Linked DNA regions of Lepisosteus oculatus. Each later gene encodes a partner of the first gene's protein in a complex. Links are inferred from orthologs where the notes say so. Each region holds a gene or a part of one and is shown on either strand. Other genes may lie near its edges.

Region 1 (6,390 bases):
GGGAAAGGGGGTCAGGACAAGGGTTGACATCTGCAAATAAGACTTACATTCACTTCTCCTCCTGCAGAGGTAACTAGCGAACCAGCGCAATGACGCAGAAGCAGCCCAAACTGACTTCCAATCTCGGACTTAGCCATGCCAAATAACCCTTTAACAAAACTTTTGCTGCCTATGAATCAGCCCGAAGAAGAAGAAGAAGCAGCAGATACATTTCGGGGATTTAAGGGAATGTCCTCTACTGACGGCTTGAAGGAACTGAAGATCTTTAGTTCTGAACAGAAGAGACAACGAAGGGAACTCGTACATGTCTTCAAAATCCCTGAAGACGCTGACCAAGCCAGCTCAGTGGACTTCTTCAGAACGAGAGTGAGACGCACCAGAGAACGCAAGTGGAAACCGAGTAGATGTGCATTTGAAACTGAGAACGGGAGTCAGTCACTTCTTAATGCAAAGTGCTCTGCGGGTCTGGAAGAAGCTGCACGGCCAAGCTGTTGAAGCCGATACCCTGGCCTCCTCCAGGAAAAGGCCGGATGAGATCCTCAGATCAATTATACGAGTAATTGATTAGTGACTGATACTAGTGCAGCTGTTGAAGCCGATACCCTGGCTTCCTCCAGGAAACGGCCGGATGAGATCCTCAGATCAATTATACGAGTAATTGATTAGTGACTGATACTATTAGTATCAAAGAAATTAATAATCCCATGGCCTAGTTGGGCTGAATGGCCTCCTCTCACTTGATGTTCCTTTATGCTACTTTCTAAACTACCTGCCCAGCCACGAAACCTCACCTCGTTCACTCCTCTCGACCACATTCTTCACCGGGACAGGAGCCGCTGCTCGCGGCCTGGTGGGCTCCCGGCGGCAGAGCCGGGGCCAAATTCGTCCTGGCGGGGGACCCTCACCTTGCACATCGTGGGGGGGCAGCCTGATGACCAGGATGCCCCCCGACGCCGACGCCACGGCGAAGTGCGCCTCCCCCTCGCCGTTGACCCAGGCTGCGGAGGCGCCGGAGCTCGCCACCGGCCCGGGAAGGGCCGGGATCACGGAGGTGTTGGCGGGATCTCGCAGGTTCACCTTCCCGACGTCCGTGAATATAGACTGCATCTGGAGTTCGGTGACCAGCTCCTGGGAGATAAAAGACCCACAGAACCTCCATTACTCTACAATACGGAACGCACACAGCAGATGTAAGATGTAAGATATGGTCACTTTATTGGCCATATACAATTTCTTGCATTAGGAACTTGTCTTCCGCATACTCCAACTTGCTCTCCATGAGACACACAGGCACACAGACGGAAAGAGAGAGAAGGTTAGGGTCAGAGCGCAGGGTCAGCCATTTATACGGCGCCCCTGGAGCAGTTGGGGTTCAGGGCCTTGCTCAGGGGCCCAACGGAGTAGGATTCCTCTGCCGGCTGCAGGATTTGAACCGGCAACCTCCCAGCCACAGAGCCACCGCTCTGCCCCGGAGTACACAGTAGGTACACAGCTAAGACGTTAACGGGGAACACCAACATGATTAAGGACTCTGGGCTACCAGGTTTCACCGTGCAAAACATCCCTGGGTGATTTCACCGAAATCTTTTTCCCTGGTTAAGCGTGGGCAAACTCTAGTGTAAAATCCGGTACAAACAAGCAGGCCTGCAAGCAGTCAGTGACCACAAGAACCAGCCCCAATTTCCTGAGTGACCATCGGCCTGCTGTCTGTAATGCAAGCCCCTGCTGCGACTGTAACAAGACAAAAAGAACCTGATATCCTGGTTTTGGGGCGCTGAGAAACCAGGCAGGAGCAATCGGCATCTCCCGGAGAACTTACACTCCTGTACATGCGGGAGGGGTGGGGCAGGACCAGCCGGTGCACGGTCTGGCTGGTGACCACGAGGACGACGACATGGTTGCAGGTCTCCTGGATGTGCACCCCCCCGGGCAGCAGGGCGCAGTGGAGGATCTTCAAGCGCACGGCGTTGTTCAGCAGGTTGGTGTCCAGGGACTGCTCCACCAGCTGGACAGTGTCGCCGGAGGTGCTCCTGGAGGCGGTGAGAAAGTGCGATTTCATGCCCCACACCACCAACACCACAACAACCCACTTTCCTAACTGCTTCTTCCAGATCAGGGGCGCGAGGGAGACGGAGCCTGTCACGGCAAGCAAGGGTGGGGTACATCCTGGGTGGGATGTCAGTCCCTCACAGGGCACAGGGCACATACACACCAGGGCCAGTTTACCCAAAAGCCAATTAACCCACCAGCATGTCTTGGGACTGTGGGAGGAAACCAGAGCATGTGGGGGAAACCAACATAAACATAGGGAGAACATACAAACTCCACACGGACAGGAACTGAACCAAGGACCTCCGAGATGCTTGCCCCCCCGTATTGACTACATAATGCTTGCATAATGCATAGAATCTTCTGATGCTTTGGGCCCTACCTGGAGGGCAGTATAAAAAAACCCTGCAGTCTTTAGATAAGAGAAATTAACAACAAACTGAGGAAAAGCAATTCTAGCAGATCAATGAAGGCGTTCATTTACCAAAGTCGACTGCATGCTTTTATTGATAATTCCTGCCATTTGCATAGCGTTGTTCATCCCAGGGGCTGCAAGAACACTCCACATGAGGGAGGAGACCTACTCCACCCCACTGCTCAGCAGGAGATTAATTCAACGGAGCTTTTGGGGGGGTCAGACTGTTTGAGCCCAGGGAGCAATTTACCCTGAATTAAGCCCTGACATACGAGCAGCTGGGAGATACAGTATGAACCGCTCCACTCCGCCTGGGGTGGGAAACGATCAGGACGCACTACAAACCAGCATCGCATTGTTAGTGCCACGAAGTAAACATAATTTCCCGAGACACCACAGCAAGTAGACATTATCACCTACAGATTTGCAATGAGAAAACACCCAGAAAACTGTCCCAGAAAACTGCAAGAAACACCAATATTGCAAATCAAAAAGGGCCCTCATTATGCTAGCATTATGCACCTATATAGCGCTTTTCTGGACACTCCACACAAAGCTTTTTACAGGTAATGGGGATCCCCTACACCCCCACCAGTGTGCAGCCCCACCTGGATGATGCGCCAGCAGCCATAGTGTGCCAGAACGCTCACCACACACCAGCTCTCAGTGGGGAGGAGATGAAGCCAGTTTACAGATGAATCAGTACTTCGGTTTTACATCTCAGCTGAAGGACGGCGCCTTTTTACAGTATAGTATCCCCGTTACTATGCTAGTATGACAAGTGTTAGGTAAAAGAAAAAGATTTGCAGCTCACCACTGTATGAACCTGTTGCTTGTAACAGACAGGAGCTTATCACATTCCTCATAATGGAATCCACCAGCACTGTCCGGATATTTGACTCCTCCGGGAAGAGCATTCACCCCTTGCAATCAGAGAAAAAGACAAAGGGTTGTATCACAGCGTGCGAGCGAAAAGGGAGTTTTCTTCGTAAGGCTTTAGACTCTGCAAAGGCTTTCAACTAAAAAACAAACCCGCCCTCTCCAGTCCAGCAATACAGTCCAGTGAGTGACTGGTGGCAACACTCATATTTTTATCTTCCTGTGTAAATTCCAAGAGAAAGCGGGGCGCCGGACGCTGCATGCTTGTATCAGGCTCGATATATCTAGAGACGCCCAGGAAAAGCAGGGTGCTGAAAAGACTTGCTAGCACACATCTCGCAGTGTTGGGGCTTACCGTCCTGCTGGATTCACCGCGGATAATGGGATTCGAAAGAATTGTACTAATCGAGTTTCCACTGCGCGATACTTAAGATTACAGTTAGGTCATTATAAGCATATAGAGTCCGAGACTAACTCCATGATTAAGATGTAAATCACTGTAAAGCGAAATTAAAGCCACCTTAAAATCAAAGCATTTATGTTGTGTAGGAAATGACCGCAACTTTACAAATAACGAATTCATAATCCATGCCTCTGCTCCTCTTCAAAAAGCCAAGTTTGCAGAACACTTTAGAAAAAACCCTACCTCGACTACTTCAAGATCTACTGGAGGGCACCAATCAAGGTGTGATACTTGGGTTTTCCAGACCCGCGGGGCGGCTTGGTACCTTAATTGATTTACTTGCTAGTACAGTGTCAAATAGGCGCTCTACCGAAGGCATGGCTAACCCGCTGCATGGTGGGCAGTCACGACCTCGTCTTCCGGGGATCGTACTATCTTACCCAACAAAGTACAGTCCCCCGTCCCCCGTGCGTGATCCTTTAAGGGCCTTTACCTGGATCAACCGTTATATCTCGGAATTTCTGGAGGGTTTCTCTCTCGAAACCACATATTTCTATGTAGCTCCGCTCCAGTGCCGCCGCGGCCGCCATCTTGACCCCCGGTGCACCCTGGGAAAGGCTAAGTGGGCGGTCCCACAACAGACCCGCCACGCGCTCTTTCAAACTCTTAAAGGCGCAGTACCGCCTGCCCGTGCCAAGGGCATGATCAATAATCAATGGCTTAAACGTACATCCAGTGCAGCATAATCACTGAAAATGCTCTGCAATTAACAAAACAATGCACAGGGTTAAACAGCATGAGCTGTCATAGGAACAGAGTAAATTTCGATACAAGGAGGTTGTTTGACGTCGTTCGACTCGTTTTTACAGCGCAGAACGTTTCTCCATGGTAATTGATTTTTTTTAAAAGCACTGATAATCTCCGATTTTTCTTTTAGAAACTAAATCGTTGTAAACGTCTCTGCCGAGGGGACGGCAATCTTTTTTTTCTAAAGAGAAATTCAAATGTAAAAAAAAAACCACTCGCTTACACAATGTATTACATAAGCTCGCTCAAATCAAGTAAGGGTGCCCCTTGCTGAGTGTGCTTTATACTGCTATAAACGCACTGACACAGGAGGGGCATTTTCTGAGATTTGTTGTACAAAGCAAATATCAAAATGATTTAATACCGCTGAACAAGGTCCCAGAATTAGACCTATACTTACGCACAACTTAGGCTAACGAGCACTAAGCCGCCCACGGTATTACTATTATACTTGAATGCTTTTTTTCGGCAACGCGACTTAAATATTTGCGCCCCTTTCTCATGTAGCTGAGCGCTCGACCCCTCTGTCGCGGGGCTGCAGAAAGTGGACACGACGCCCAGCGGAACACCCAGCCCCGGCGCACGTGGGACTCGAACCCGCACCCCGGCACTGCGGACAGACACTTCACTGTCCCCCGCTGCGGAAAGCTGTCTTTGGCTTCTCCCACAGAAGTACAAAACACACGAGTCACATAAAATCACATTGAAATCACGGCAACAGTAAGTGATACATAAGTAACTGGATAATTAGAGGTGGGGCTACATTGACAGACCGCCAATGAGTAGTTTTAATGCAGAGGGGACAAAGGACGTCTTATAAATGTTTTTATTTGAATTGTGGTCCCTATGCCGTCTCCCTGATGGGAACATTATGAACTGAGAATGGAGCAGGTATGTGGAGGCAGCTGTGATGTTCCTCGCCATTCTGAGAACTGTATCACCATATAAATCACAGAGTTGGGGCTGCTGTTTCCCAATTATGTTTCCTGCCATTTTCACAATCCCGGGCAGTTTGGTTTTGCTTTCCGACCCCAGATGTAAATACCATAAGGTCACGTTAAATGCCGGTAGCGTCAACACCGTTCTGGCGGATCTGATGCAGCGCCGATCAAGTCGCGTCGCTGCCTAATCAAAGACCGAATTCACCCCTGGCGCAAAGCTGTTAACGTTGTGCAACAGCACCTTCCTCTTAATGGGGGGCAAATCCGAGAGGCAGGACCCGATCGAGCGCAAGGCGAACCGACAGGGCTGCAGTCCGACGGTTGCGAAAACGGACGCGTTTCCTGACCGTTTCTCAACTCCAGGCGATGTGGAAAAAAAAAACGACTATGACCCCAAGCACAGATCTCCTGCTCAACCTTAAACACCAAAACAAAAAAGTCCATCGTAAAAACACCAGCAACAGGGGATACTATATCAGCGTTGATTAAAAAAAAATCAGCACATTCGACTATATAAAACGAATGTAACGCCAGGAGAAATGAATGTAGTGGGGGGATCCAGCAGGTGGCGCAGTCTACTCGGGACCAGAATATTCCAACCAATGTTACCGTATGGTGACTGTGTACACTATGCTGCAGGAGGTATAAGATAAGATAAGATCATCTTCTTGCTGGGTATCGCCCTCTGCCTGGGATTATAAACCCAGGAATGCAAAGATCCCAGGGCACTTTTCGACAGAAACTCCGGATCTCAACGATCTGAAGTTTACTTTGAATGTAACCGGTATAAAGCAACTAACTGGTCGGTCTTCAGGCGGGGAGAGCACTTCAGTACTGGATGAAGTGGCTCCTCTCCTGTAGGTAAAGTGCTTTTGAGAGCCTTTGATATGAAAGCA
Region 2 (6,390 bases), on another chromosome or scaffold:
TGTGATCACCCCCCCTCCCAGGCCTGCGACTGATCGCCTCGCCCCGCTGACAGCTCGCAGGCTGGCCGCCCCCGCCTCACAGAAATGAGAACCACAGCAGTGGGCTGGCGGGGGGGGGGGGACCCCACGATGAGGAAACTGGGGGTCGGGGGGGTTGTGATCGCAGTGCTCGATGACAGAACTCAAGGACATCGCCTGGGCCCGTGGGCAGTTCATCTGAACACCACCACACCCTAGCCCTCCGAGCGATACGGAGTGATCTGGCCACATCTCCGCATCAGCTCGCTGTAACACGCTGGCGTGGGCATGGACGCAGGCGCTACGCTTAATTCAAGCGTCCCCTTCCATCTCGGTTTCGCCCAAGCCTCGCAGCAGAGATCAATAGCCAGTGACCACAAACTGTTGACGCCTCACTTTCAGGTCTAATTTCAAGCCTGATCCTCTCACTTTCTCCTTGAGGAGCAACACAGTTGTTACTCTGCGCTTCCTCTTCTTCCCAGAAAATTGACACGCAAACTGCACCCCTTAGGGCAATTCAAGCACATGTCTCAGGGCCAGTTATTTCTCATATAAATAGAAATGAAGTAACTAAAACACAGCAGAGAAACGTGAAAGGAGTAAAAAAAGTAAATATATTATGATACGCTGTATCATCTATTAACCCTTTTATACAAGGTTGTCCAACCCTAATCCTGGAGAGCCAAAATCCAACAGGTCTTACAGGTCACTGCTAAATCAGCAGCTTGTGAAGGCCTGCAACAGCAGCCTCGATCAGACTGGGGGGTCCACTTGGTCAGTTAAGCCAGCACCACTTAGAGAGCAACCGGCTGCTCACGTTTCCCTTTCCAAACGTTTTCATTTCATTTCAGATGATCTCGCAGCTACTGAATCGAAACAAATCTCCTGCTTCGCTTTGCTTTGCTTTGCTTTGAGCAAACTCTACGTCTAGAGAGGTCCCTTCTTTCAGCGGGACTCTACCAGCACGAGGGCCAGAGGCACCATCTGAAGCATCAGTGCACCACGGACTGCAACACCATGAAACTCAGCTTGTTCTGTTCCATACTGACAGGCAGGACAGCGCAGCTGTGAGAAATCAGTACCACTATGCACAACAAAAACACAAAATCAGACCACTACAATATCAACCCTGTTACAACCGTAGTGTTAAATATCAACACTCCAACAACCAAGGACCCCGAGATGAGCACGAAGGGCCCTTTTCCAGGCTGGTGAAGCCTCATCTCAGGGTCCCACATGCCCCTTTCACACTACTGTGTTCGTCCCGGGTCGAGCACAGACACAGCATCGAGGCGTAACAGGTCCCACCGGACTGCAGGTAGGCTCGGCGGCGATTGGGGTTCGGCTGCAAACTGCCAGCTTGATTTTGGGGTATTGCACAGCAAAAGAAGGGTCACTCAGGACAGGCAGGGGGCAAGCACAAGCAAGTTCTCCGTGACAAAAGACAAAACCTTGTGATGTTACTGCAACACTCCCTTTCCAAACACAAGCTGGGCTGCACTGAGCACAAAGAAGCACACAGAGCCCTGTTGTACCCACACAAGGGCGACAGTGTACGCAACTAAAGCAACAGATCAGAAGCATTGTCAACGCACAGCATTGACTAAACCTGTAGTCAAACCACATGTGTGAATTCAATCGGATAAATCAAACATCCATCTGCAGGAGCTGTGACTAACGAGAAAGACATTTAAGTTAAAATTGTTGCCTTTAAATTGATTTGGAATTTTCGACCATGTTATCATCTATCTGTATCCAGTTTAGGAAGTGATTCATGTCAGATAGTCCATGCCAGCTGCAGGGGGGGTACATCACCTCCTGATGTCACTGCATGTTTGCTGGGCACCAGGCAGGTCCCAGCAGCCCTTGCTGCATCACGTCAGCTAACGCCAGCAGTATTCTGGCAGCCGTCACGACAGCTGTGTGCTTCTGCTGGGGGACTCCCTGTCACAACCCGCTAGTGACACGACCCAGACTGGACTGGCAGCTTCTGAACCGCAGGGCACTGCGCACCGGATCCTCTGCGGGCCTAGCCCAGTGCCAGGAGACACTGAACCTGATCAGTCCGCCCAGGAGCAGTAGCAGAACCTCTGAACACCCCCCAGTGTCCAAAGGTCACAGTTCTGAGACCCGTGGCACCACCCACACCAAGGACACAAACCCAAGAGCATCCAGGTGGAACAGACTAGTTCTCCTGCCTTCCACACCTGGCACCAATTACAGAAGCCATTTCTGGCTTCTAAGTCTAAGGACTTTATGGTACCCAAGAAGAACGGATACAAGGCCTTCTAACAATGGGTCTGCACAGCGGTGCAAAGCAGACAGCAGTCCTCACCCAGTAACACATCACCAGACCCACACAGGACCCAGGATCCCTCTCAGGACCAGCACGGTACCTGTATATCCGTGTCCTTCACGGGCTCCAGGGGCTCAAACGTTGTTGCCGCGCTCAAGCTCTCCAGGCGCTGAGAGATGTGGAAAATGTCCAGTCCTCTGGATCCCAGCAGGATTGAGCTGAAACAGACAGGCCAGTCAGGGCATAGTGTGGACACAAACCAACTCTGAGCTCTCGCTCTCTGTTTGGGTTATGGGTGTAGAACATTAGAGGCAAGAATCAGCTGAAGTGTGTCAGGGAAATGAGCTATACAAAATGTATCTATACTGTTAAGAGTCTTATTTCTGGTTTCTGTCTTTACTAAAGCAAGCAGCCCAATGTTGCACATTATCAGCTTCATCATCACATTTGCAAAGAGAAGATCATTTACATGACATAACCAATAGCACTATGGCAGGAGGGCAGACTCATAACTGGGCAAGTCTTCCTCCTTAAACCCTGAAGACGAGTACCATTTGTAACCACATTTGCCCTCTGGCAGGGAAGCCAGGGCAAGCATGAACAGAAGTGCGAACAGGGCACAGGCATCAGGAGACAGGGACAGTGACAGGTCTGGGGAACAAGACTACTTCAATGCTGCTCTTTTTCAAGACGACAAGCTTGAGGAGCTCAGATTCCCCCCCCCCGAGCGCCGCAGCACTTACGCCTTGACGTCGGCCGTCTCCTGGGAGGCGCGGGTCAGGGTGCGCGACCGGAGCCTCTCGCCGGCCTGCTGGATCTCCTGCAGGTTGCGCTCCACGTGGGGCAGCTCCGAGATGGCCTCCGTCTCGGCCGCCAGCTGCTCCGCCTGCTGCAGCAGCTCTCCGAAGCCCTCCGCGTCCATGGCCGGCCTGCAGGCAGGAGCGGCGGGACGAGCTGAGGGCGGGAGCTCTGGGCCGCATCGCTCTCAGGACGAACACTATCCACTTATTGACACCACAGTCACCTACAGGCATCTCCTCGGTCCAGGGGGGACCGATGAACGTACAATGGCCGATATCACAACGGGCACCGATGGAGCATCAAAATAACAGAACTTCATACACCCGTCTTTAAAAACTGAAAGAAGGGGCCCCTGCAAACCACAATTCAGATCAGCGTGGGAATTTTTTAAAAAATATTAGTATTCAGCGCCCAGATTTTACACAGCAAAAGCGCAGTTGGGTGTCTTGAATGACTGAAACCCGGCCATTCTTCCCAGACTTGTAAGTAAAACAGCGCGTAATCAGAAATCTGAAACTATTTTGTGCAGGGAAAAAAAAGGCTTTTACAATTTATCATGCTGTTTGGAAAACCGTAAATACATAAGCCTAAGATCAATAACGGACAATAATCGCAGTGTAACCACTGTCCAACGTGCGTATTACCAGCTCGGCGCTTAAGATGTCGAGAAAAAACAGGCCGTAGTGATCCTCTGTCAGAACTAGAAACATCATATACGAGGATTTACTCACCTTCTACCTTAGACTTAAGTAAAGTTATTCGATATCGCGTTTAAAAAGATGTATATTTTGACAGCAGCTCGCCTAACTGTATCCCTCCTTCGGCGGAGCACATTCCTCCCGGCACTTCCTCAACCCTCTTCTCATTGGACCCCACTGCTCCCACAGGCCTCAGCGCCTTCAATATAACTTTATTGAATGACAGGGGAGGACAAACACCGCACTTCGCACTTGCGCGTCGTGAGGCCGACGCCATGTTGGCTCTAGAACTGTGAGCCGCAATGGCGATTACGTGCACCAACCCATTAGATAGATACTTTATTAAAATTGCAGAAATTGCAGTGCAACAACAGCCAGGCACACTCAACACAGCACAGTGTAACAAAATGATACAATAATACAACAATACAATAAAGTCAGTGAGAAGTGCAGTAAAAAATGGAGTATGCAGAGTTGCAGTACACAAGATGTATTGCACAGTATAAATATATTGCACAAATCCACCAGCATATATTGCACATCAGTTGTAAACAGAAAAACCAGCTGTAAACAGAGAATTCATGTTTAGTCAACCTTCCCCTGCCCAGACACACAGTGGATGAGTTGTATAGTCTAATGGCAGAAGGCAAGAATGCCCTTCTCTAGCACTCCCTGTCGCACCGCGGGTGGATCAGCCTATTGCTGAACGTGCTCTTCATTCTCACAAGCGTGTCATAGAGGGGATGGGAGGTGTTGTCCATTTTTGGACACCATTCTTCTCCTTGGCTAAGGATCTGCGCCAGTAGGTTGCCGGTTCGTATCCTACGGCTCGCAAAGGAATCCTACTCTGTTGGGCCCCTAAGCAAGGCCCTCAACCCCATCTGCTCCAGGGGTGCCGTATAAATGGCTGACACTGCGCTCTGACCCCCAGCTTCTCTCCCTGTCTGTGTGTCTCATGGAGAGCAGGTTGGGGAATACAAAAAGACAAATTCCTAATACAAGAAATTGTATGTGGCCAATTAAGTGATCTTATCTTATCTTACCTCCAAGGGACCCAATCAGACTCAATGACAGAATTTGCTCTTTTGATGAGGTTGTTCAACCTGTGCAGCCCCTGCACACCGCTGCTTAGACACCTGCACTCGCTACAACTGACTGATAGAACATATGAAGCATCTTACTACACACATTGAAGGACCTGAGCCTCCTCAAGGAGTAGAGTCGGCTCTGACCCTTCATGTAGTTGGCCTCGGTGTTCTTAGACCATTCCAGTCTATCGTCAATGTGCACTCCCAGGTACTTGTATGAGTCCACTATCTCCACACCACTCCCATGGATGCACACAGGAGTAGGTTGGACCCTCTTCCTCCTGAAGTCTATCACTAACTCCTTCGTCTTTGCCACGTTCAATTGCAGGTGGTTCTCCCCACACCACTCCACACAGCTGTCAATCAGTCCTCTGTACTCCTCCTCCAGCCCACCCTCAATACATCCTACAATTGCAGAGTCATCTGAGAGCTTCTGCAGGTGGCATGACTTTGAGTTGTACTTAAAGTCCAAAGCACAGAGGGTGAAGAGGAACGGAGAAAGAACTGTCCCCTGAGGAGCCCCTGTGTTACTCACCACCTGTTCAGACACACAGTTCTGCAGTCTCACAAACTGTGGTCTGCCTGTCAGATAGTCGGTGATCCATGAGATCTTGGAGGTCATTATCGCTAGCAGCTGGATCCTGATCTATATATTCACTCTCGGTTCTTGAGGCACAAGCTTGATCCGGTTTTCATTCCATCTTGGACTATGAATGATTTTATTTCAATTGACATTTTCTTTTGATCTATATGAGTTCTGTTTGCTCCTTGAGGATTATAATGTTGAATAATTATAAGGCATACGTAAGGGAATATTCCTGGGTCACAATGAGCCACAGCCTAATCCAGCAGTCACAGAGAAAACTGGGGCACCTAGAGGAGCCCGCCAGACCACACACAGGCATCTCAGGTCAGAACTGAACTCAGGACACGAGATCTCCTGAGGCAACAACACTGACCAGCATAACGCTGTGCTCTTCAGCAAAAACTTCAGTAGTTCTTTTAAATTACAATTTTAAAGGTCACTACTTCACACCAGAGCCCTATAACTTAACAGTGCTTAAACATGTGATAACTGTTTTATTGGTCATAGTGGAACATCATGATACATTAATGTTGCATTAAGAGGAGATATATACTATACAATTATTTCCTTCTCATAGTATTCAAAATATTTCCTTTTACTAGAAGAGCAAAGCTCTGCAGGTTCCCTGGGCTGTCTGTGGAAGCCAAGTTCAGACTGTAGTTTCACAGAGGAGATCAGGAAACATTCTGTAAAATGCTCAAGGAGCAATGCTCCCTCTCAGCTGTGCGCGTGTGCGCACGCACACAAGTTATGAAATCAACCCACATAGGGAATTGAACTGCGCACAAAAAATTAAATTCCCCCAAAAATATTATAAAACAATTACAGTTGTCAATTGAAAAATGCTGAATTGAACACAGGAGACTGGCTGCGAGAGGCCCAGCTGGGCTGTGTGCTTTGTCA

The links. The genes of interacting proteins can lie anywhere in the genome.
Region 2: nup160 (region 1) and nup93 share a complex: the UniProt entries of both Homo sapiens proteins name them as parts of the nuclear pore complex. The link is inferred for Lepisosteus oculatus from reciprocal best matches to the Homo sapiens genes NUP160 and NUP93.

What each region holds. Positions count from the first base shown.
Region 1 is NC_090716.1:4,053,344-4,059,733, forward strand, and holds the start of nup160 (nuclear pore complex protein Nup160), read right to left. Parts: upstream 4,372-6,390; 5' UTR 4,337-4,371; coding exon 4,240-4,336; intron 3,388-4,239; coding exon 3,279-3,387; intron 2,031-3,278; coding exon 1,820-2,030; intron 1,129-1,819; coding exon 906-1,128; intron 1-905. UniProt on the Homo sapiens protein: Functions as a component of the nuclear pore complex (NPC). Involved in poly(A)+ RNA transport.
Region 2 is NC_090715.1:1,145,490-1,151,879, reverse strand, and holds the start of nup93 (nuclear pore complex protein Nup93), read right to left. Parts: upstream 3,999-6,390; 5' UTR 3,847-3,998; intron 3,244-3,846; 5' UTR 3,237-3,243; coding exon 3,058-3,236; intron 2,533-3,057; coding exon 2,415-2,532; intron 1-2,414. UniProt on the Homo sapiens protein: Plays a role in the nuclear pore complex (NPC) assembly and/or maintenance. May anchor nucleoporins, but not NUP153 and TPR, to the NPC. During renal development, regulates podocyte migration and proliferation through SMAD4 signaling.